4 linked regions of the Saccharomyces cerevisiae S288C genome follow. The gene in region 3 interacts genetically with the main gene of each other region. Each region holds a gene or a part of one and is shown on either strand. Other genes may lie near its edges.

Region 1 (6,255 bases), on a different chromosome or scaffold from region 3:
TTCAATGTCTTTTTCATAACTGGATTTGACGTTTTCCTTTTTATATTCATGTATCACGTTGAAGCTTAGGATGGATATAGCATCGTTGTTGCCAAGTTCGGCAGCAATATTCAATAATTTATCCTCCATAGCTAATAAGTCTTTGTGGACGAATTTGTTCTGCGTCCTTAGAGTTATCAAGACGTTTCGCATCTGCATAATGTCTGAACTCCTTATATAGGGGTATTTCTTCCTCCATGGGATATTCTCTTCATTAGTATTTTGTGATACCTGCAGAAATATCGGGTACATTTCATGGTATGTAAGCCTTGTATCTAACTGGAATAAAATTTTGTTAACCGTACGTTTCTTCGGGAAAATCTCTTGAAACTTTTTGGGTACTGGTGGTGTGGAAACAAACTTACTGACAAACCTCTGCATATTTTAGATCAGATATTTCTTGCTTTTGTTTTCGTTTTCGTCTGCTACTGTTTGTCTCCCCTCATATTGTTGTTGTTAAAATCTAAAAACGAATTCCATAATGATGGAAAAGAGTTAAAATTCAACACCAAAAAACAAGACGCATCAAGAAGTTTATTTGTATATGTTGAGGATACATCTAATGTCAATAACACAGATTCTACAAATTTTATAAAATCATATCAGTTACGTATTTTTATTGAAGACGGGTCACTTGGTGGTGGTAATTCTTTGAAATAATCACTTTCTAAACACTGAACAGCGGTCCACCTCTTTTGTGGGTTCATCGTTAGCATTCCACACATAAAATCTAAGGCGTATTCGCTAGCAGCAATGAACCTTTTCCTCAATTCATCTCTTGAAGGGGGCGGATATATTTGTAACTTGTTATACGTCATAAAGGAAGAAACTTCGGGCCAATCTCTATCTGTAGGTGTCCCTAAGGCCCTGAACGTTACTTCCATTTGATCGACATCATTCTGTCCTGGTAAATAAGGTATCCTTAGCATTAATTCCGCGAATATAACGCCTACTGACCAGATATCAATAGCCGATGTGTAATGTTTAGCTCCAAACAACAATTCTGGCGCTCTATACCATCTTGTTACGACGTTACTTGTCAGTATCTCATGTGGGGCCGGTATCGCCCTTGCTAGACCGAAATCTGCTACTTTTATCTGGCCATCAGGTGAAAATAATAAATTGTTTGGTTTCAGATCCCTGTGCAAAATGAAATTTCTGTGGCAATGATACACGCCCCTCAAAGTCATAAGCATCCATGCCTTAATATCTGCTGGTGTAAACAGTATTGATTTGTCTTTTATTACCACCTCTAGATCAGTTGGTAGGAACTCCAGAACGAGATTTAAATTATCATAAGCCATAAATATGTCTATTAGTTCTATGACGTTCGGATGCTGCATTTCTTGGAGGTACTTAACTTCACGGATAGCTGACATATCTAAACCATCTTTAAATTCGGATGTTTTGATCTCCTTAATAGCAATCTTTCTTCCAGTAGAGTGTTGACAACCCAAGTAAACAACCGCATAAGTACCCTCACCAACTTTCTTTTCTGCGATGAATCATCATTAATCAACGTTAGTATCATTATTGAATGTTAAAAGAAAGACGACAATATATAACCCCCACATACCCTTTGTGTACTCCATATTCACTTTCATATGTTCGCTCTGAGGCCGGGAATATTTTTTTTGATGACTTTTAAGTAACTGTGATTTCACTTGTATTTTTTTTCAATGTGTTTTTTGAATCTACTTGTAATATTCTCTGCACAATGCTTCAAATGAAGCTTCACATCATAACACAAAAAAAATTGTAGGTTCATCCAATGGACGAATCTTTCTTAAGGCTTATGCTTGAAGACCATTTCTATATACCAAAAAATTACAAACTGGCAAGATTGATGTCTTATTGAAACTGAAAATCTTTCAAATTAGAGGGTGATTTTCAATTACAATTGACAACTAAGCCGACTTCCCCTGAAACCGCTTCTGAATTCTTACAAATTTCTCTTGGAGGATTTGTTCAAGGTAGTGTGGTATGTTTTTAGCGTATTAACAGCAAGCGTTGTGTCTGCAAACAAAGAGAAAAAATATCAGTACAAAAAATGCTCACCTGACCTTATTCACCCAAAAACATCGGGGAAACGGTAGTAATATGGAAGCTGGCAGGAGTGCTGATGAAGTGCTATACCACAATCAGTCGTCAGTAAAGTTAGGTGAGTTAGAAAGATACGTTATTACATATGAGCTATACCAGGGTGATAGTATTCCCGCTGATATCACACTGGATTCCCTATGGGTAAAGATCAAAAATACCACAAAGCTATCCTATAAACCAGCCTATCTATTGGGCCCATTTATCTTATATTGTGACGTGCGAGCAAAAGATTACGAAAGCTCGTATAAGATCATATGTTCGGCGGATAAACCAGTATTTCAATCAAACCTACAGGCACAACAAAAGTTTATTGCAGAGTTGTCCTTGCACCACATTAAGCCACGCTATGTATGGATAGTGGATATTGTCAGTCAAATACTATTTAATAAAGAAACTAAGGTAACTTTTGAGATAGTAGTCGGCAATTCAAAGGCCTCTTTGAAAAGAAAAATACGATGTAATGATTCATTGCCTGATAAAGCCTGCAATATTTTACACACAGGATTATCGGTGCATAGACTTACCACCGCAGATATATGGAAAGTACCACGACCCATAGACATGTCGCAAAAATCCCATTTAGTCATTCTCACGCATGGTTTTCAATCAAACGTTTCGGCAGATATGGAATACTTAATGGAAGAAATATACAAGGCTCAAATGAACAATCCAAATGAGCGACTAGTTATTAAGGGATATATGAAGAATGCTTGTGAGACTGAGAAGGGTATTAAGTTTTTGGGTGTTGGATTGGCAAACTACATCATCGACGAGTTATATGATGACTCTGTTGGGAAAATTTCATTTATTGGTCATTCCCTGGGTGGATTAACACAAACTTTTGCTATTTGTTACATAAAGACCAAATATCCATATTTCTTTAAGAAAGTGGAGCCAATCAATTTTATCTCACTGGCGTCACCATTGCTAGGCATTGCTACCAGCACGCCCAATTACGTAAAAATGTCATTGTCGATGGGTATCATTGGTACTACGGGGCAAGAACTGGGTCTTAAGGATGGAAATTATGGTGATAAGCCCCTACTTTACCTGCTATCCGAGGAATCCTTAATCAGTGTGCTTGCTCGATTCAAAAGAAGAACACTTTATGCTAATGCCGTCAACGACGGAATAGTTCCCTTGTACTCCTCTTCTTTACTTTTTTTGGACTACTCTCAATTACTTCAGAAACTGGGAGGTCAAACTACGGCACCTTGTGATCCTCTCTTCCAGCCTGAAGTAAGTCCTATTGGGGAACTTCCAAATCATAGCGATGTTGCTAATGATGATGATGGAATCAATGCATCGTCATGGAACACGTTTTGGAAGAGCAAGGAAAATAACTGCGACAAGAAATCTAAACGCTTGATGAATGCTTCCGTCATCAAATCTATGAAGTCTGTGCTTCTATCACCATGCCCCGACGCAAAGTTCTTCTCAGATCCCGATGCAAGGGTCGCAACAATCATACATGATAAGATCTACACAGAAAAGAATTTACCGCCTCCATCACCAACACTTTATGAAGGAACAGCAGCCAAGGAAGGCGAAACGAGGAAGACGAGAAAAGAGATGGAGGAAATCATAGCACGCCGCTGGCACAAGGGGATGCATTGGAGGAAAGTCGTGGTATTGCTGAAACCAGATGCCCACAATAACATCATCGTAAGAAGAAGGTTTTCCAACGCTTACGGCTGGCCGGTGGTTGACCACCTTGTTACCGCCCATTTCCAAAGAGATGACCCAATCGCCTCACCAATGCAAGATAAACAGTTTGCTGAGGAAGATATAAACATGGCAACCGGAGGGGTGGAACCAAACAAGTTCTACTCATGGCTCACCAAGATCGAGGATCCTAGTGTGTACCATGGTGGAATAGTCTCCACAGCTAGCCAGCTCGCCAGCTCCTGGATTAGCAAGCATTCCTCTGTGACAGATTGACTGTCTATCTTGACGTCATCCCGGGATTGACTTGCAATTTACTATTGTCCACACCTACGAAAGTCCATTTTACTTCGTAGTTCGATAAATGCGCTTACGGGTCTTTTTCGAGCGGGACAACTCTTCAGCTCCTCCCCTAAAACCGAGGCCGAATATCCCTTCTCCATATAAATAAGACACTTTTCACCAGGAAAACAATACTTCAGAAGCTTATTTCTCTTGACAAAAAGAGGGGTAAGATCTTTATAAAACATAAAGCAAATCAAAACATAATAACTACTACAAGTAACATAATGTGCTCAGCAGGCGGTATCAGAAGACCAATCCAGATCGAAGAATTTAAGACGGCGATAAGCGGCATGTCCGACATGGAGTTGGCACAGATTAAAACAGAAATTGAGAACAGTATCAATCATTTGCAGAGGTCTAACGCCCGCTTGGGTAAATACATAGCTAAGTTGGAGGGTGCTGACGACCGTCTTGAAGCTGACGACAGCGACGACTTGGAGAACATTGATTCGGGAGACCTGGCGCTGTACAAGGACTCTGTCAGGGAGAACGAAATTGTGCTAAACAATTACAATGAGAGAGTGGACGCATTGGAGCAAGAAACGGTATATAGAAAGACGGGCCATGGCAAGAGTAAGCACGAGGTAGAGGCAAAGGACAACACCAACAAGGGCCCTGACGTTGACATGGACAATTCAAATGTGGACGTCGTGACACCAAACAGCATATTCATTTAAGAGACGGGATTTAGTTTTACTGCGCATCATTTTCACGTCATACTCTTTGTCTCTCTGTTCTATCTCTTCGTATAAATATTTCAATAACTCCATTTGTCTATTCTATCTACCCGTTCTATCCTTACTACTAGATATCTTAAAGAAATAATAAAATAAGTAAATACAAAAAAAACTCGCTATTAATAATTTATCTCCGAAAGCCCTAGGGTGTGCTTTTCTTCCGTGCCCTAGTCTATTATTTTGAACCCTAGTTGGCGAAATTTTTTTCTAATATTCAGAAAAAAGAAACGTAGAGCTTATATGGTGAAGGAGTACAATGATACTAATAGTCTGTAGACGGCAAAAGGCATTCTTTTTGACTAGCACAACGACAGTTTGAGATTCTGTTGAAATAATCATTTATGTCTCTTTCGGTCGCCGAAAAGTCGTACCTATACGATTCACTAGCAAGCACGCCTTCAATTAGGCCCGATGGAAGACTACCTCATCAATTCAGACCTATAGAAATATTTACTGACTTCCTACCAAGTTCCAATGGATCGTCCAGAATTATAGCTAGTGATGGAAGTGAATGTATCGTGAGCATTAAGTCCAAAGTTGTGGATCATCATGTGGAGAATGAACTACTTCAGGTCGATGTAGATATCGCAGGCCAAAGAGATGACGCGCTGGTAGTAGAGACAATCACTTCTTTACTGAACAAGGTTTTGAAGTCTGGTAGCGGAGTAGATTCCTCAAAGTTGCAATTGACAAAAAAGTACAGCTTCAAAATATTTGTCGATGTTCTGGTCATTTCATCACATTCACACCCAGTTTCTTTAATATCCTTTGCTATTTATTCAGCGTTGAACTCCACATACCTACCGAAACTTATTTCAGCTTTTGACGACTTAGAGGTGGAAGAACTTCCTACGTTTCATGATTACGACATGGTTAAGCTTGACATTAATCCGCCTTTAGTGTTTATATTGGCCGTTGTAGGCAACAATATGCTATTGGACCCTGCAGCCAACGAAAGCGAAGTGGCCAATAATGGCCTAATCATTTCCTGGTCTAATGGTAAGATTACATCACCTATCAGATCAGTAGCATTGAATGATTCAAACGTTAAAAGCTTTAAACCTCATTTGTTGAAGCAAGGTCTTGCAATGGTGGAGAAATACGCCCCCGACGTAGTACGATCACTGGAGAATTTATAAAAATATAGTCACAATTAGATAAAAAGACAAATTAGTTTACATACTAAAAACTTCATGGTTAACAAAAGTGGGAATGAAACCTGATTCTTACATGTGTTGAACTGTATAGGAATGAACGATAACTGCGGTTGCCGTTTGAATATTCATTGATCTGATCACACCAAATTGTTGAATCTCTAAACATAAATCCAATTCGCTTAACAAAGTCCCCGGAATACCGAATGCTT
Region 2 (6,410 bases), on a different chromosome or scaffold from region 3:
ACGAAAAAAAAATAAAAAAAATGTTGCGAGGAAAAAAAGGCGACGTGTTTCGCATTCCGCCAATATCCACAGAGGGTAATGAATTTTTCGTACTATAGATATACAACTACAATTTATATGAGCGACTTACGATTACTTACATACTACCGCCAGGAAGAATCAAAATCCCTTCCACTCTTCCTCTTCCTCTTCTTCAGATTCGTTACTGGAATCATTATGTTGCGTTTCGCCTTCAAGAATATCCCAGGAAACAAGTCTGGTGTCACTGAATAGGTCTTCTTTGATCTTCTCTCTCAACACCTTACTGTTATTGTAATCTGCCACGATATCTTGGAAAATTGCGATAACATCGGCTAGTGGCGTTTTTTTTGCGCTCTCTGCAATTTTGCGCATCTCTTCCTCTTTGTTTTCCTCGTCTTCATCGTCTTCATCTCCATCTTTAAGCAATCTTTCCCATTCGTCCAGCAGAATATCGACGATATGAATTGGAATCCCTGTGTAGACCTTTGGACTTCCACTCAGAGGTAACCACCTCAACACTTTCTTAATATACTCGTCGACTAATTTTTTGTCCCAGTTTCTGGACTGCAAATACTTCAATTGACTGAATAATACCCTTCTTATCAATAGAAGATACTTATCCAACCTATATCTGTCAATGTTAAACCATTCAAAGCACATGACCTTCCAAAACCCTCTGCTAAACTTTATAAATGCTTTATCGTTTGTGGTCAACTCATCTGCAGTGCTATTGTCCTTAGGATCAAAATATAATCCATGCAATTCACCTAATTCATTGGCTAAACGTTGCTGAGGTCTAGGACGGTCACTGAACCACATTGCATAGTAAAGACCCTTCCAAAGTTTATTGAATTCTATTTGTTTGTTCTCCTTGAACTGTTTAGCGGTTAGATATTTCTTTAACGCTTCGAGTGCATTTACCCTGGTTTTTCTGTTGTTCGACGATAATTGTTTAACAAAGTTGGAGGTCTCCATTGTGAATGTTCTCACTCGATTTTTTAAGTGTCTATTTAGTGTATTATGCCGTGAATGCGCAAGATATATACGTATACTTAAGAATGTAGTTTATATTTGACAATTTTTTTCAGCTCATCGCATTTTTTTTTCTAAATTCTTTACCTCTCGTGCTCCGTGACTAGGATATTGGAAATTCAAATGATATAACTTAACCATATAAATCTTTTAAGTGGTTCCGTTGTTCCTCAGATTGCTTTGTACCATCTACTTTCCTAGCTTCCAGATCTCCAATGCTGACAATCTTGGGCTGCTTGGTTTCTTCTTGTTCCCGTTTTTTCTTCAGATATTCATATTTAGTAGGATTGGCGACTAAAACATGTTGTACTTTTTCCTTATCCTCAATTTCATCACGTATACCCATTTCCTTAGCGTGAGATCTAGCAAACTGGTTCAATTCGTTTAATTTTAGGCCTTCACCTGTCAAATGTCTGCGGAACATTTTTGATTTTTCATCAACTGCGCCCAGTGTTTCAGTTTTGTACAATCTTGATTTAGGATCATAATTACTCTCCGTTGAATTTATGTCGTTCAAGTAAGCAGCCTTATCTTCTCTCAATCTCGTTGATGTCCTATACAACTGAGAATTATCAGCATCATCTTTCTTCAATGAACCTACGGAATCCTTGTAAAGTTCTAACTTCATTAGTTCTATCTCTTCATCTGTATCCCATAGTGTTTCATCAGTTTGGGATTTGTCTTTTCCTTTTATTTTATTTCTTTTATCACGCTCCCACTTACTTATCAGTTCATTGTATTCTTTCCCTGAGTAACCGTACCATCTATCTTTTCTGGAGTCCCAGTCATCATCAGTAGCTCGTACTAAAACTGTGCCATTATTTTTTTGTGAATTTAAATCGGGAACAAGCTTCTGCATCTTACGAGGTTTTTCCATGCAGTCTTTCTCCTTATGCCCTGCTTCCCCACAATTCCTACAAAATGACAGCGAATGAGAATCTCGGACGGACATCTTCTGGGGTCTGATTAGTTTGAACTCATCCTTTATACCCATACCAATTTTTGGTTCTGAATTATTGTCAATATCTAAAGCACCCCCTTTTGCTTTTTGCCTATGATGCACCAAGTAGTCGCTTTTTTCTCCTCCTTCTGCAGTGCTCGTATCATCATTGCCGGGCTTCTTCCCTTCTTGTTCTTTGGGGGTATCCTTATAGTACCATGGTTGATTTCTAATATACCTGGGGATATGAATATTTTCATTTTTTTCTTTTGCTTGTTGTAGTTGCCTTTTATTTCTGTTAATAGTGCTTCGATTTTCGTTGTTTCTGCTGTTATTATTCATTATGTAATCCGATCGTTGTATTTCAGTGTAACTGGTATCTTTTTCAGAAGTGCTCGATAAATGATATACGCAGACTTGATTATTGATTTACTTGAAAGGCAAGCTATTCAATAGATAACGAAGGAGTTATCGTTATGGGTACTATTATTGTCTTTCCGCGTTCGAACTAGTCACTAGTTGTTCCAATGAAATGTACTTTAAAAAAACTCGACAACTTCTCCAATTAAATTGAAGAGTACGGCAGCTGAGGTTACCAACTCTTTTCTATATTTTAATTGTCACTAGGTATAAAAATCAAAAGTCTAGAAAAATGTATAAAAAATCTTCCCCGCCAGGACTTGAACCTGGAATCTTCTGGTTCGTAGCCAGACGCCGTGACCATTGGGCCACGAGGAACAAGATTTCTTGAAGTTATTGAAATACGGGATTTGCTGATACCAGAATTAATAAATTCAGACCGACTTCTCTTGTGGGGTGGTAATCATCATTTAAAGTGTGGTATCCTGCTTAGCCCGGACAAAGAAGTTATTTTAAAGATTTATTTGCCAATCTTCACAACTGCCCTGTTGTATCTATATATTATTCTGTTGAAACAAAGTTTTAATATAGTCTACTAACTAGTATTCCCGCATTTCTCATATTCCTTTGAAAATACCAACTATCGCTTATTTTACCAGCAGTTAATTAACTAAAACGTTCTCATGGGGATGGACACCAGTTAAAGAATCAATAGAACCTTTTTCAAATCTCCATATGGAGCGGCCTCAATGAGTAGCAACGAGGGAAATAATTACTTGCTTCGGCTGCATTCAGTGATTAGTTAAAAAGTCGTCACCCTAAGTTTTTCTGTCGTATTTTAGGCATTTTCATTTTGAGGAAATATCGTATACCTGGTAATTGCCTATATTTTGAGATGAAGACTGTTTCTCATTTCTTTTTGGTCATCTCCTTGCAGAGCATTTGATAATATAGTAGTAATAATGAATTGTAGTCGATAAATGTTAGTTGATTCTCATTCCTATCGTATCGATAAGGAAACCTGAGAAATACCAAGGTTCAACGATAATGGCAAACATGCTTCATTAATCGGTATTCTTGATCAAATACTTCCTTGCCTGCCATACGGCATCCCTTAATCGCAAAATAGTAATATTCTTTCCAACTATATAACCGTTATTTTAACACACATTTCTCAAGAGACCCCTTTCTAGAAATGGCATGGAGTGGCAAGTATCTTCAAGCTATTTTTTAGTTGTTCATGTACTCCATAGAGTGACGGTTCTTGCAATTTCAACTAGTTTCAAGATAGTCATAAAAATTTGCAACCGAGCCCATTACTATATATATATATATACAAAAAATTTTAACATTAAACCTTGAGCTCGGGTTTTATCTCATACCAAGTATTATCAACCTTTGGCCGGTGTGTTCCTAATATGGTATCGATTTTCAAGTATACCGTGTAACATTTGGTTTTTGAATTATCCAGGGGTATTGCAAGGAATATCGTGGATCCTGCCATATGAAGGCGTGGATCTTAATTTATTCACCTTTACTGATCGTACCAAACGAAGTAAGCGTAGAAAGCTAACCAATTTCCTCTTGTTACAGAGAGAAAACTTTTCTTGTACAGTAAACTGAATATGCTACGTCGTAGACTTACAATGACGCCGCACTTAGGGATAGTAGTTACCTTGCTCACTTTACTGTCGTGATCATTACACCCGTACGTAATCGATGATCATTGCAGGAGAGGGGCACTTTGGTCTGACATCACTTTTTTTACCTAATCAAATAGATTGGCTTTTATTTGACAGATAAGGTTTATGATCTCTTTTTTCGAATGGAAAGTTCCATGCAGGCACCCTTTATCTCATTGTATTTAAACTACATATAGAATGGATGGAAACGTGGCAAGTCATATCAGGACGCTTTGAAGACTGATAATTAAAAACATTAAACAAGTTTCCAGATATCAGGAAGCGACCAAGCCAATATTCAGAACTTTCGTTTCGAAAAACACAGTAATATATTATTCTCAAAAATTACCACACTTTTTTTAGGCAAGGCTGCAAAATAATACCAGAAAAGCAGAGGCGGTTCTTAACTTCTGTGTAAATTCAGTGCAGGAGGACGGGTGTTGTGTTATTAACTTGCAAGGAAAAGAAAGTTTGTGTCTCCCCTTGTTCTACGCTAGCGAAATGGGTGTGTGGAAGAGTCAAAACTGAACCAAGAAAAAAAAAAAAAAAAAAACAAAACAGATAAAAAGATAAACAAAGGCAAGATCAAAAAGCCCTATCGTGAACGCTATCAAAGGACTTTTAAAATTCATAAATTAATAGTTCGTCCGTTGCCCTCTTGAATATAATAGAGATAGAGTTTAATACTTGCTTTTTACCTTTGCTTTTTTTTTGTATATCTCCATCTCAGCCCTAGGTAAGGATAGATACGAAGGGTTGTACAATCATGAAATTTGAAGATCGCATATTGAATAAATCAATCCCTGAATGGAAATTCTACAATATTAACTATGAGAAGTTAAAAGTAGCCATAAAAAAAGTAACGGCTTATGATTATGACAATCCAAATGATTCGGGCATGGAGAAGTTGTTGAATCAATGTTCAGTAGCCTTTGACCAGGAATTTCAAAATGTTAATTTATTTGTTTCTTTGAAAATAAAGGAAATTTCCACTCGTATTCTTTCTGTGGAATCATCAATAATCGATTTTTCAAAGGGCTTAAACAAAACTTCCAGAAACCGTTTCAACCTTCGTAAACTGAAAATCATCAACGCTCATGTAGACGATTGTAACTTTGAACTACAACTACTGTCAAGGTTTTTGATAATACAAAGGATTGCCTTGAGAAAGTTATTCAAAAAATTACTAAATGAATTTCCTCAAGACAGTGAAAATCCATTGACTGCAAGTGAGTATGTTACGTCGATCAGAAACTCTGAAAGTTTACGAAATGGACACGAAGGCATATCATTTATGAAGCTTGATTTAGATCCATATCTTTTAGAAGTTTCGCTAATTGTTGATGTTTTACATGATTTGGAAAATAAACTTGAAGATGCAACTGAGCCAGCAGTGGAGCAAAGATCCCTAAACCGCTCCGATGAATCTGCCCATACAAGTTCAAGTCCAGAAGCCAACAATTCTTCCTTGCCAGCATCTCCAAGGTCAATTCCGCTACTTTCAAACAAGAAAACTTCAAAAATGATTGATTCTTCGCTAGAATTCGATACTGCCCTCATAGATAAAGCAGAGAATCTAGGAAGGTTTTTATTATCGTCCGAGGACATAGAGGGACTGAAGTTCATGCTATTGAATATTGGTTTTAGGATAATTGACGATAGCATCATATCCACTTCAAAGGAGATTTTAGACACTACAGATAATATTAATTCTGCGGGCAACAAATCTATAAGATCAGCAAAGTCATTCAATGACTTACAACATACCTTATCCCTATCTAAACAGAAGAACATATTACCCTCTGCTGTACAATCCAATGAGAAGTACGTTTCTATTAGTATACTAGATACTGTCGGGAACGAAGGCAGTCCTTTACTACTTACTGATGATAATATAAATCAGCACCCAAACATGATAGTCAGCTCTACTGCTGAGGATACTTGTATAGTAATGTGCCACGTGGGCGGCTTAAGAAATCATGTTGTCACAAATGATCTGCTTCTAAGGGATGTAAAGAATATTCTTTCGGCCATGAGGAGTGGCAACGACACAAAAAATATTAGCGCTCTCATAAACTCACTGGATCCATCGCCAATCAGTAAGATCGCTTTGGAGTGGATTCAGTCCCATCGATTAAAAACCATTGAACCAAAGCTAGATTTTAAAAGAACAAGATTCATATCAGCAGACAATGGAGATATATACTTGATAGCTTTGGATGAATCTATCACTATTGGAAATGTATCTACATTACCCTTTCCAATTTTAGAAATTAAAAAGCTTAGTCGATCCAGTGGTCTTTCACAGACGGCTATTAATGAAGACAATAAGTTTAAACAGTTAATGAAATCAGTTGTTACAAATGAGTTTCAAT
Region 3 (6,332 bases):
GTTGCCAGCAATATTTGAGTCTGCATTTGCGTTCATAGTAGTGGTATTCGGACTTGCATTGGAACTTGAGGTAGAATTAGTAGTGATATTGAGATTTGTATTTCTATTGCTTGGATTAATTTTCGGATGGTTCCAAAGGTCCAAAGAGTGAGAAATAGAATTCCTCGAATTTGTCATTGACGGAAATTGGTTTGTTATAACGTCGCTAAATCTTCGGCGTGATAAATTAGTGTCATCATCATCATCATTCAATAAGAGATCACTAGAAACGTAATCATCTAGCATGGAGTCTATGTTCAGTGAATTAAAATAACTGGAATTTAAATTACCCGTAGAATTGGAGTTTGAATTAGAAATGGAGTTAGAATATGAATTTGTATCTGAGTTCAATTGATTTCTTAGTTTTTCGTTCAAATTGTTTGGGTTAGTGTCAATGAAAAGATTCGAATTAGCACCATTAGGTAAGGACAGACGATTATCTTTAATGGACGTATGTTGTTGGGCTCGAGGAGATATAAGAGTTTCATTACCATTTGAAGTTTGAGGCGATAAATTAGTTTCGTTACTTGCTGTATTTATGGGAGGATTTATAGTCGGATTTTGAGGTACCGATGAAGGTGACGGTGATTGTAACGGATTGTTCATGTTGTACAAAATGTCGTTCATAGGATAAGGTGAAGTAAGAGTTGTGTATTGATTTGCCCCAGAGCCACTAGCATTATTAGTACTCTTAATTTCACTATCATTTTCAATAGTTCTTGCATCGCGATTTTTGTTGCTATCAGCTTTCAAATGCAAGCTGTTATCGGTAGTGGATGGTATCGTTTCCGTTACGGGCAGTGGAGAGTCGAAAGATAGTGGAGGAAGCCCCAAATTCAGTGAAGTTTCTTGATTTTGAATGTCATTGAGATCCGCACTATCTAAGACAGTGTTTTTGATATCTAGAGAATACGGGATAACATCGTTGTTAATATTATTTGGGTTATTATTCTCCACGTATTGTATACTACTCATGCTTTCTATGGGGAATAAAATATCTTCGCTATTGAAATCATGGTCGACCGTCATTTTAGATCTAGTTCTTCTATGAGCAATAAAAGTTGAAAAAAGAAAGAAAAAATAAAGCAAATAAAACCAAAGAAAAAAAGGTAGCCTCTTGGCGTATGAAATACCTTGCTACTACTGTTGTGATCTTCCCGAAAAATATGAGGAAGATACCGATAAAGTAAGGAAGAAAAAAGCAATATCTTTTTTTTTTTGAACTTTTCGTATTACAGACTAGTTTCTGTTATCTCCAAGGTTTCCGTCTGTTTTATTTTCGTGTAACACAGTTTCTAACTGGGAAGTCTTGTTGAGCTCGTGCTGCTTTCTTACTATTACCAAACAGGAAGGCAAAAAAAGGGAACACGGTTTACGCGATAAAAGTAAAAGGGCCAAGTCTGACTGGTGCTGATATCAGGCAACAAACACCACTTTGTTCTGCTATTTGTCTTTATTACCTGTCTCTTTCGCTGGAAACAACAAATATAAATAAGTAAGTGTCAATACTATATGTTGTCTGTAGAGGGGAAATTGTATATATTTTCGGTGTCTTGTTTTTCTTTTCCGCAGTTTGTTTTTCCCATTCTGATTTTCTGAAATTCGTAAAAAGGTGTTTTTTTCGTATAAATGGCTCTCTTTAATTTATTAGAGACAAAAAGAGCCGATATGTATGACGTAGACAGATGGTGTCAAGAACCGGCTTGGCTGCTACGGAATGCGTAGCTGAACGCCGTGGTTTCCGGAGAAAGACGAAAGATCAACTCCGGCCGTCTGGCCAGGAACGATAGGTGCTGGAGATAAGTGAGGTACGGATACCAAGAGCGAAATACCTCTTTAGGTACGTTCCGGGCCGTTGTTGCCGGCGAAACCGGAGGGACAAGGCAATATGAAGTAGGATTGGAAACCGGCTTTGGCATATTGCCACATGCGTATGTACATGTCCGGCATCACGTGGTTATGATGTAGTATACTATATTATGTTATATCTGTATTACGCTACGTTGTGCTATCTTGGATGTTCTATTTGATGTTGTTGGCCAAGGCATCTTTTCTCTCTTCCCAAACAGTCTTTCCGGTACACGCACACACTTGTTTATTATTTTCCCACACACCAGCGCTTCTCGCAATGACTCCCAGAAATGAGTAGTCCTTAACGGAGGAAGGCTCGTTTTCTGGGTGGTTCAGAGACTTGGAAATGACAAAGCTGCGGCCGATAAGTTGCCATGTTGGCAAGGGAGCGCTCAGAAAGGTCTTCCCACTGTACAAGTTCTTGCCCAAATCACTCTCGTTGAAGCATTCAATGGGTTCGTCGAACTTGTGCCAAACTTTACCAGTAGATTCCACGCCCTTGGAGACGTCGCCTTTCTCGTGAATGCTGGCGTGGTAATTTCCCGCCTCTGGGACGCCATTTACAGTGATGTCAAAAAGAGTCTTATTCTCTCCAACCTGAACGATTCTTGCTAGGCCCCTCACGGCGGTGTCCTTTTTCTGGTCTATAGTATATTTTTGAAAGGTCTCTAAGATAGCGACCGCGGAAGAATTCGGCTTCCCGGCGCCTCTTATGATGGCGTCTTTACCACAGTTTCGCAAGGTGTTGATGATGGTTGAAGGGGCTACTGAGCTTTCCACGCTCATTATTTGTTGCTCTATATCGAAATTCAATGAATTGATTCCTGGGACATTTTTTAGGCATGCCTTTATATCATTCACGCAATTTTCACAGTGCATGGGAATGGCATAAGTAGCCTCGTATGTATCGTTCGTGGTCATTTTTGTGCTGATCGAATGGGTTTCTGCCTTGCAAAGATATCTTTATTCTTTTCTTAGTCTAAATTTTTTTTTTTTGGCTTGCCTTTAATATATTATTTTTCCGAACAATGAATTTTTACCCTCTTCCATTCTCACTGTGTACTAGTTGTACGGGGAAAATGCTTAGTAAGCGCAAATTTTTTTTTGATAGTATATTATACTGAAATGTACAAGATTAACTTTTGTCTGGTTATTATAAATCACATATTTGATTATATGAATTGTTAAAATGAATTTGACAAACAGAAAAGTATATATTTTTATTTCTTTTTTTTTTTTTTTATTCTCTAATAAGCTCGTTGGATGGAAGACGTTGACATAAGCAAGCTCAACTTCCAGGACTATTATTCTTCTTCACTTATGTCGTCTTCAGCCTTGTTCATTTCAGCTTCCAAGCTTTGAGCAAATTCTTCGTCACTAGAATTTGCATCTTTTGACTCGTTTATGTTGGAGACAATATCTTCTTTTTTAGCTTGAAGTGTGGGTACAGGTTCAGGTTCAGGTTCAGCTATCTTTTCTTTTGCCTTTGCCTCTTTCTCTTGTTCTGCAACTGCTTTTGCCTTTGCCTCCTCTGCCTCTTCTTTTTCCTTTTGCTTGCGTTCCTCTTGTTGTTTCCTACCTGCCTGGCCTGGGATGATCAAAGTAGCATTGGCTTCTCTTTCAGCGTTTTGAATGTTTTCCTCGTGTGGAAGTAGAGTAGGTGGAGCAGGTTTCTTCTTCTTTGAACGTGGCTCCAAGTCATGACTCTCATTAGATGCTTTGGACTTATCTTCTCTCCTCTTCTTTGGGCTGTTCTTGTCCTTCCCGTTTTTATCCTTGTCGTTATTAGTACTGTCATTATTGTTATCATCTTCATATTCGTCGTCGGACAATAGTCTAACCATTTTGGTTTTTGGTCTCTTGGATCCTAGCCTTCTCAAGGCTTCATCAATATTCAATCTGTGCTTAAGCAATTCGTCGTATAGATCTTCTGTCAACGAAATACCTTTCTTCCCAGGTTTCATTTCGCCTGTAGATGAGTCCAGATAGTACTCACGGATATCAATTAAATTTATGTTTCTAAATTGTCTTACCGTGACCCTCTTATTTTTACCCAGATCAAAAATTGCATCTGATGCGGATAGTCCAGATGGCATACCACCATTGTTATTGTTACTGTTACTTAAGTTTCCTCCACCATTATCGCTTCTTCTTTTGTTCCTATACCTGTTGTAATATGACATAGCGCTTGTGTTTGTATATATGTCGAAAAATTGATGTGTACGGAAAGATTTAATATTAAATAGCTTTCTTAAGTGGGCAACCAAAAGTGTTTCTTTGATTGGGGACTTTTACAAAATTCACGTTTACAACCTCTTCTCTTGTCTTCCTATCGTTCCCTGGATCAAATTAAGAATTTTCATCAAGAATAGAGAGCAGAAGGCAAGCCAAGAGAGAAAAAGAAAGAGAGAAAGAAAGAAAGGAGAGGAAGAGGAGATGAAAAGAGAGGAAAACTTGAGTTTTGATAAAGAAATTTGAGGAAGGTAAAAGTAAAATTCCCATTCAAATGAATGTATTAATAAATTCTCATCATTAAAAGGAGGGAAAAATTACGTATAACGTAAAGATAAAACGTGTGTGTGTGCAGTGCTATACTCATTGTCCTTGTTAGTGATGATAATTCGTCCCAGCTGAAAAAACTCAAAATAAGTATTACCCGGATCGAGGCTGTGGCATTTAGCGCCGCTGTCTTGACCATCCACCAATGGTTGATAATAACATCGGATGATCAGCCCATTTTTGGTGTATTACTATCCCATCTCATTCTTCCAAAAAACACGTATATATCATTGACGAGATCGAGATACGTCTGCTGTGTTTAACGGCTAACTTGGTTGTGTAGGCTTGTGTCAATTAGGCAAAATGGTTTTCTTGGAAAAAAGACAAGGGAAAAAAAAGGGTTGATAGAGCAATATATGTACAGCTGGCCTTCTCTGAGAAAAGCTAGCCGCCTGGAAGTAAATAAATACGCTGAGTGTTCGTTGGAGCATGAATTATGTGAATAGAAAAATACTAAGCAAAATTTCAAAGTCGAGTTAGTGATGGGTGTTTATTTGGCAGTACTCTTTTCGTTACTGGTCATCGAAATGGCCATTCTGTTTATTTTGGTACTTCCGCTTCCACAGCGTATGAGAAGGTGGCTGTATATACGCTACAGTATCATAAGTACTAATAAGAAATTCAGAACTTATATGGTTGGAATCATGATCTTCGTTGGTCTTTTGTTCATCGATTCATGGAAAAGGTCACAGATCAGAGTGTCTACGTACCGCAACCAGAAAAATCCCTATATAATAAATAGTGTAACCCCAGTGGATGCACTGGCTTCAAGGGCATATAACCAAAGGAATGTTTACATTTCAGGCTTCATCATCTACTTTTATATATGTATACTCACCGTGATGAGTATATTGCGAAGAATAGTGGAATGGAATGACAAAATGAAGGCTGGAGATGACATTCTGAAGGAAAAGTTAAGACGAAAGCAAAAATATTTAGAGGAATTGCAGAAGAAGAAATTTTAAAAGGAAAAAACTAAAAAAGAAGAAAAGGAAAAACTTACATATGTAAATAGAACAAATGAATATAAACTAAAATTTGACAAATTTTTTTTCTTTTTGGGGTGATTATATCATTTCTGGATGAGGAATACCTGAAGACCACTCTTCATTAAAATGTTCTTTAAAAATATTCTTTTGGATATATTCTACTAGTTGTCCGTCCTTAGAAGATAATCTGTTGCCATTCGATTTCACAATTTCGTAATTATCCAGAGCAAGTTTCAATTCTTCCATGCTACTGACTCCAAGAACAACGGGTCCCTTTCCTACCCATTCCGAAATCGCGTATCTTGTGGCCAAATCGGCTAAGTCGACATTTTGTTCTTGACAGTATTTGGCAGCCTGAGATGCGCATTCTCTCAATTCATGAGAACACGGGTGAAACTGTCTTGTCTCCTGTGACCTTAGTAGCGACATGCTCAAGATTGATGCGTTGCAAACCATTTTCAGTTTAGCATTGCGTAGCAGTCTTTCTCGAAAGTTCAATAGCTTATTGTTTTGTAAGTTCAAGTTACAATAGGACAATACTGCATCCAATGACCCAATATCACTTTCCTCGGTAGAGCAGTACTCAGCAAGCCAGGTGATAAAGTCGATTGGGTAGCCTGATATGCCAAAATTTTTGATAACTCCTTTGTTCTTCAAGGTCCTCAATTCCTTTAATGCCTCTAAGATGTCTGGAAATTTGACAAACTCGACATCGTGCAAGTACACCAAATCGAGATATGTAGTGTGTAATCTTTCGCACGATCTGTGAACACTAAATCTCACGAAATCTCTAGAATAGTTAAACTCTTCCGCACCAATACGCCCAACCTTTGTGCATATAAAATAAGTGTCTCTGGGAAATTCATTCCTTAAATTGGACAGTGCCCTACCATA
Region 4 (5,898 bases), on a different chromosome or scaffold from region 3:
AGGGAATCCAGAATCACAGGAATTTGACGTTGTTAGGATATCTGAGTTAAAAATGTTGACTTTGATTGGTGTTTTCACCTTTGAGAGACTTAAGAAACAGTATGTAACTTTGGATATAAAGTTGCCTTGGCCAAAGAAAGCCGAATTGCCACCGCCAGTGCAAAGCATAATTGATAACGTTGTCAAGTTTGTGGAGGAATCAAATTTCAAGACTGTGGAAGCTCTTGTAGAATCTGTGTCAGCTGTTATTGCCCATAACGAGTATTTTCAAAAGTTTCCAGATTCGCCTTTGGTGGTGAAGGTTTTGAAATTAAACGCAATCACAGCCACAGAAGGTGTTGGTGTAAGCTGTATTAGAGAGCCCAGGGAGATTGCGATGGTAAATATTCCATATCTTTCCTCCATACATGAATCGTCTGATATTAAGTTCCAATTGTCTTCATCACAAAACACTCCTATTGAGGGTAAAAATACATGGAAAAGAGCGTTTTTAGCGTTTGGTTCAAACATTGGGGACCGTTTCAAACACATTCAAATGGCGTTGCAATTATTATCAAGGGAAAAAACGGTTAAATTACGGAATATTTCGTCTATTTTTGAAAGTGAACCAATGTATTTCAAAGATCAAACCCCTTTCATGAATGGGTGTGTTGAGGTGGAGACATTACTGACCCCAAGCGAATTATTAAAATTGTGTAAAAAAATTGAATATGAAGAGTTGCAAAGAGTCAAGCATTTTGATAATGGTCCGAGAACAATAGATCTGGATATTGTTATGTTTTTGAATAGCGCCGGAGAAGATATTATAGTAAATGAACCGGATTTGAATATACCGCATCCTAGAATGCTGGAGAGGACTTTCGTTCTTGAGCCGTTATGTGAATTAATATCCCCCGTTCACCTTCATCCTGTGACAGCGGAACCCATTGTAGACCATTTAAAACAGTTATACGACAAACAGCATGATGAAGATACCTTATGGAAATTAGTTCCATTGCCTTATCGTAGTGGTGTGGAGCCTAGATTTTTGAAATTCAAGACCGCTACAAAACTTGACGAATTTACTGGAGAAACAAACAGAATTACTGTTTCACCTACATATATCATGGCTATCTTCAACGCTACACCAGATTCATTTTCCGATGGAGGTGAGCATTTTGCGGACATTGAAAGTCAATTGAATGATATCATTAAATTGTGTAAAGACGCATTATATTTGCATGAGAGCGTCATCATCGACGTTGGAGGGTGTTCTACCAGGCCTAACTCTATTCAGGCGTCTGAGGAAGAAGAAATACGCAGGTCTATCCCATTAATTAAGGCCATTAGAGAAAGCACTGAGTTACCGCAAGATAAAGTCATACTATCCATTGATACTTATCGTTCCAATGTCGCTAAAGAAGCGATTAAAGTTGGAGTGGATATTATTAATGATATTTCGGGAGGTTTATTTGACAGCAACATGTTTGCCGTAATTGCAGAGAACCCAGAAATTTGTTATATTTTATCACACACACGTGGTGATATTTCAACGATGAATAGGCTGGCGCATTACGAAAATTTTGCATTGGGTGATTCTATTCAGCAAGAATTTGTTCATAATACCGACATTCAGCAGCTAGACGACTTGAAAGACAAAACAGTGTTAATCAGGAATGTTGGTCAAGAAATTGGCGAAAGGTATATCAAAGCGATTGATAATGGAGTAAAGCGCTGGCAAATTCTAATCGACCCTGGACTTGGTTTTGCTAAGACCTGGAAGCAAAACTTACAAATTATTAGACATATCCCCATTTTAAAGAACTACTCATTCACCATGAACTCAAACAATTCGCAAGTGTATGTTAACCTCAGAAATATGCCCGTTTTATTGGGTCCATCGCGCAAAAAATTCATTGGACATATCACAAAAGATGTGGATGCGAAGCAAAGAGACTTTGCTACTGGAGCGGTGGTAGCGTCGTGTATTGGTTTCGGCAGCGACATGGTTAGGGTCCATGACGTTAAAAATTGTTCGAAGAGCATTAAATTAGCAGATGCTATTTATAAAGGTTTGGAATAAAGGTTAGTTATATAGATTAAATATGTAATTCTGTTTTGTAATAATTTTTTTTCCTGTTTCATAATAAAGAATCGTTAAAAATAACCAAGGGAGGAAACAAGTGAAATGAAGTATAGAAAAGATATAGAAAATAAACTTAAATATTCAGTTTACTTGTGCTTCTTTTTTCCCCTCTATGAAATATAGCATGATAAGTGATTGTTCCTTTGTTTTTTTCAGTGGATGTTTCACCTAAGCCTTTGGACAATCCTTGGAAATATGGCCAGTTTCGTTACAGTTGTAACAAAGCCTGTCATTTTGACAGTCCCTGGACATGTGGCCAGCTTGACCACAAGTGTAACATTTCAATCCACTAATTCCGTCCTCTTTCATACAGTCCTTAGCCATATGGTTTGGACCACCACATTTATAACATGAAACTTTGGAGAATCTGCTGGTCTTCTTTGGTTCAGGGCATTCTCTGGAGATGTGGCCGGTTTGGTTACAGTTGAAACAACGTTGCACAGTACATTCACTTCTAACGTGACCGGTTTCACCACAATTGTAACATTGCTTGAATTCAACTGTTCTTGGCATGGTACAATCCGTTTGAACGTGACCGGGTTTGTTACAGTTGTAACATAGTCTTTCAGAATCACAGTCTTCTGCCAAATGGCCAATCTTACCGCAAACGTAACAAGCTTTTTGAGACATCTTTTTCGTATTCTTTTCTTTTTTCCTGATTTCTGAAGGGAAAGCCTTAAAATAATACAATCCTCAAGTGCCCCCAAAGCAGAAAGAGCATTTCTAATCCATCGATGACCTTATTACAACTCTTGCCAAAAGAGAAAAGGAACGAAAAGAAAATTTTTTCAGCATTTCGTCTATCATGACACCACAGCAGTTCTTACTATAAAGCTCAAATCCCTAAGCCATAAAGGCAACAAACGGCAATATACTACCTGTTTAATCGTGCGTATCCAGTCGCCATCTCCTGCTGGAATAGTTATGAACATCGAGTTTCAGTTCCCGCAGACGGTCTTCCTCTATGGCAGCTTCCCATTGCTCAATTGGATCAGAGTCGGCTACTATGATACCGTATTCAACTGTATCCTCGAGTAAGTCATAGGCTAGCATCCTTAATTCGGGATCGTAGTAATATTCCTTCTCGTTTAATTGTTGCTTTGGATGTTTATTCGGTGTCTTCGACGAGCAAGATTTATTCGAGAGATTTAATTGGTAAATACAAAAAGACGTAAGGGTTTCTGGAGCCAAAACGTAGTTACAGAAATCTGTTATCCCCCACCATTTTAAGGTTGCGGGCTGATTGTGCGTGAGTGCCCTTTTATATCTCTTAGCGATTTCTTCGCCAACCCTCAATTGCCTTTTCAGGCCGTAAAATCCAGCAGTAAATTTGTTTAAATTCAACTTTCTAAACTCATCTACGGACAAGTAAGCCTTTTGTGAGTTTTTGAATGCATTTTTTGCTTCAAAATAGTATACAGACGATATCTTTCCCTCCAATATGTCCATTACAATGGGCATGAAGGGTTCTACTTCAGTGAGTAGCTCATCCGAAAACAACATGGGTGGTAGTTTGAACTTGCTCATGTATTCTTCCCTTACTTGAAGTTTTTTGATTATCTGCTCTTTAGAACTCAAACAACTTTGTAACGATAGCTTTTTATCCTCGGGAAATGAAGAGGAGAAGATTTGGTTATCTTCAACTGCCGATAGTTCTGCCTCCAAGAGTAATTTTTTACCGTCTAAAAGATTATTGTTCCTGCATTTGATAGACTCGATATCTTCATTTTTCAAATTCTGTATTAGTGGGATAGAAACGACCTTCTCTTCTTCTTTTTCTTTTCCTCTGAGTGCTGCATTCTTTGCGGCTTGTACTTCTGAATTTGGAAATGACCTCGAAAGTTTATCAAATGTGGCCACAGTGGAAAGCTTTTTTACTTCAATCTCATCTTCTGTGATACTGTCTATTTTGCCGCGCTTTTTTGAGGGGGAAAAGGCATCATGGCCTGATAAGTCGTCACTTTCTCTATCATGTATGTCATGTTTTCCTTGTCTTTTCATTAACAGTAAGTTATCACCACTTCCCTTTTTTGTGGAATAAACACCTTTTCTCCTCACTCGATTAATTCCCAGACCAGGCCCAACCATCTCTGTCTACGCAGGTCAAAAATTTGTGCTAAGGTCTCGAGAGCACATACAGTACCCTTTTAATGTGATCTCATCGCTACATTTTTCAAAGCTTCCCATTTTAGCGACGCCATCTATATATAGGAAAAAAAAAAAGTTTAGGACGCTATTTACCACAACAATTGAGATGCAGCACAAATAGGAGTATCATTGCCTCCCAATTTTCAAGGGAGTTTTCAGAGAATTACTATTCCATACCTATTCAATTACTGGAGTTGTCTTCAGTATCATAAAGGGTTTTGGATTTTCAATCGAATTGCCATTTTTTTCCTGCTTACGTTCGATAGATAGCCAAATGCAGTTTATATATATGTATGTAGACTTGAAGGTATATTAACAGTGCCCATGTTTCTTTGGAAAGTGTCAAATATCGCAAAGCATAACCTTGAAGGTTAACATTATTTTCTAGAAATACACCTTTCCCACTGGATATGATGACGGAAGAAACAAAACGTTAAATTATTGTACCGTTGTATAAAACAGTAACCGAGCATGGACAATTCATTTTTACACCCCAACGACGCCACTAACCATGTATAGGTGTCTTGCCTAACTTATCATTATTCATAGTAGAATTAAGAAAATTAAAAGCCTTGCACCACAGGTTACGTACATAAGATATTATGTTAAATATATATCTCTTCAGTATTTCTACGTACAAAGCTTCACTCATTGAGGTTTGATTGGTGTACAGCTACATACATAAAAAGGATCAAGTGAACTATTCGGCATGTCGACAATTGGAGCTGTTGATATTCTTAATCAAAAGACCATAACTTCTGAAGTGGCTGCCTCAGTGACTTCAAAATATCTACAAAGTACGTTTTCTAAAGGTAATACAAGTCATATCGAAGATAAAAGGTTCATTCATGTCAGTTCGCGTTCTCATTCAAGATTCACCTCGACTCCCATAACTCCAAATGAAATTCTTTCCCTAAAATTTCACGTATCAGGTTCATCGATGGCGTATAGTAGAATGGATGGGTCATTGACCGTTTGGTTTATTAAAGATGCAAGTTTTGACAAATCTGTAGAAGTTTATATTCCAGACTGTTGTGGTTCCGATAAATTGGCTACTGATTTGTCCTGGAACCCTACTTCTTTAAATCAAATAGCTGTCGTGAGCAATTCATCAGAGATATCCTTACTCTTAATCAACGAAAAATCGCTAACGGCATCCAAATTAAGGACCTTGTCATTGGGAAGCAAGACTAAGGTCAACACATGTCTTTATGATCCATTAGGAAACTGGTTATTAGCTGCCACCAAATCTGAGAAAATCTACTTGTTTGATGTGAAAAAGGATCACAGCTCTGTCTGTTCTTTGAACATCAGCGATATAAGCCAAGAGGATAATGACGTTGTGTATTCCTTAGCATGGAGCAATGGTGGAAGTCATATATTTATTGGCTTTAAGAGTGGTTATTTGGCCATTTTAAAAGCAAAACATGGCATATTGGAGGTTTGTACCAAAATTAAAGCACATACTGGTCCTATAACCGAGATCAAAATGGACCCATGGGGAAGAAACTTCATTACTGGGAGTATCGATGGGAATTGCTACGTATGGAATATGAAGTCACTATGTTGTGAATTAATAATTAACGATTTGAACTCTGCGGTAACAACACTAGACGTCTGTCATT

What was found.
Region 1: mutations in SUB1 (region 3) and KIN28 are lethal when combined (synthetic lethality), as found in Saccharomyces cerevisiae (2 studies listed by BioGRID, with this or other methods).
Region 2: mutations in SUB1 (region 3) and SLU7 together harm fitness more than expected from each alone (negative genetic interaction), as found in Saccharomyces cerevisiae (2 studies listed by BioGRID).
Region 4: mutations in SUB1 (region 3) and GIS2 together harm fitness more than expected from each alone (negative genetic interaction), as found in Saccharomyces cerevisiae (3 studies listed by BioGRID).

What each region holds. Positions count from the first base shown.
Region 1 is NC_001136.10:263,086-269,340, reverse strand, and holds KIN28 (TFIIH complex serine/threonine-protein kinase subunit KIN28), read right to left. Parts: upstream 1,644-6,255; coding exon 1,616-1,643; intron 1,535-1,615; coding exon 642-1,534; downstream 1-641. Other genes in the region: MSS2 (Mss2p), read right to left, coding at 1-420; YDL109C (putative lipase), read left to right, coding at 2,140-4,083; TMA17 (Tma17p), read left to right, coding at 4,377-4,829; exosome non-catalytic core subunit RRP42, read left to right, coding at 5,231-6,028; TRM3 (tRNA (guanosine(18)-2'-O)-methyltransferase), read right to left, coding at 6,116-6,255. UniProt on the Saccharomyces cerevisiae protein: Catalytic component of the TFIIK complex (KIN28-CCL1 dimer) which is the protein kinase component of transcription factor IIH (TFIIH) and phosphorylates the C-terminal domain of RNA polymerase II during transition from transcription to elongation after preinitiation complex (PIC) formation, thereby positively regulating transcription.
Region 2 is NC_001136.10:617,311-623,720, forward strand, and holds SLU7 (mRNA splicing protein SLU7), read right to left. Parts: upstream 2,336-6,410; coding exon 1,187-2,335; downstream 1-1,186. Other genes in the region: RRP1 (Rrp1p), read right to left, coding at 160-996; VTC5 (Vtc5p), read left to right, coding at 4,802-6,410. UniProt on the Saccharomyces cerevisiae protein: Essential protein involved in the second catalytic step of pre-mRNA splicing. Involved in the selection of 3'-type splice sites; this selection could be done via a 3'-splice site-binding factor, PRP16.
Region 3 is NC_001145.3:345,450-351,781, forward strand, and holds SUB1 (chromatin-binding transcription coactivator SUB1), read right to left. Parts: upstream 4,074-6,332; coding exon 3,195-4,073; downstream 1-3,194. Other genes in the region: stress-responsive transcriptional activator MSN2, read right to left, coding at 1-1,068; copper chaperone CCS1, read right to left, coding at 2,062-2,811; YET2 (Yet2p), read left to right, coding at 4,932-5,414; D-arabinose 1-dehydrogenase (NAD(P)(+)) ARA2, read right to left, coding at 5,517-6,332. UniProt on the Saccharomyces cerevisiae protein: Plays a role in the release of TFIIB from the transcription complex during transcription initiation. Binds to TFIIB and specifically inhibits the formation of the TBP-TFIIB-promoter complexes.
Region 4 is NC_001146.8:165,036-170,933, forward strand, and holds GIS2 (mRNA-binding translational activator GIS2), read right to left. Parts: upstream 2,756-5,898; coding exon 2,294-2,755; downstream 1-2,293. Other genes in the region: trifunctional dihydropteroate synthetase/dihydrohydroxymethylpterin pyrophosphokinase/dihydroneopterin aldolase FOL1, read left to right, coding at 1-2,062; RTC4 (Rtc4p), read right to left, coding at 3,008-4,213; TEX1 (Tex1p), read left to right, coding at 4,983-5,898. UniProt on the Saccharomyces cerevisiae protein: May act in the sexual differentiation pathway.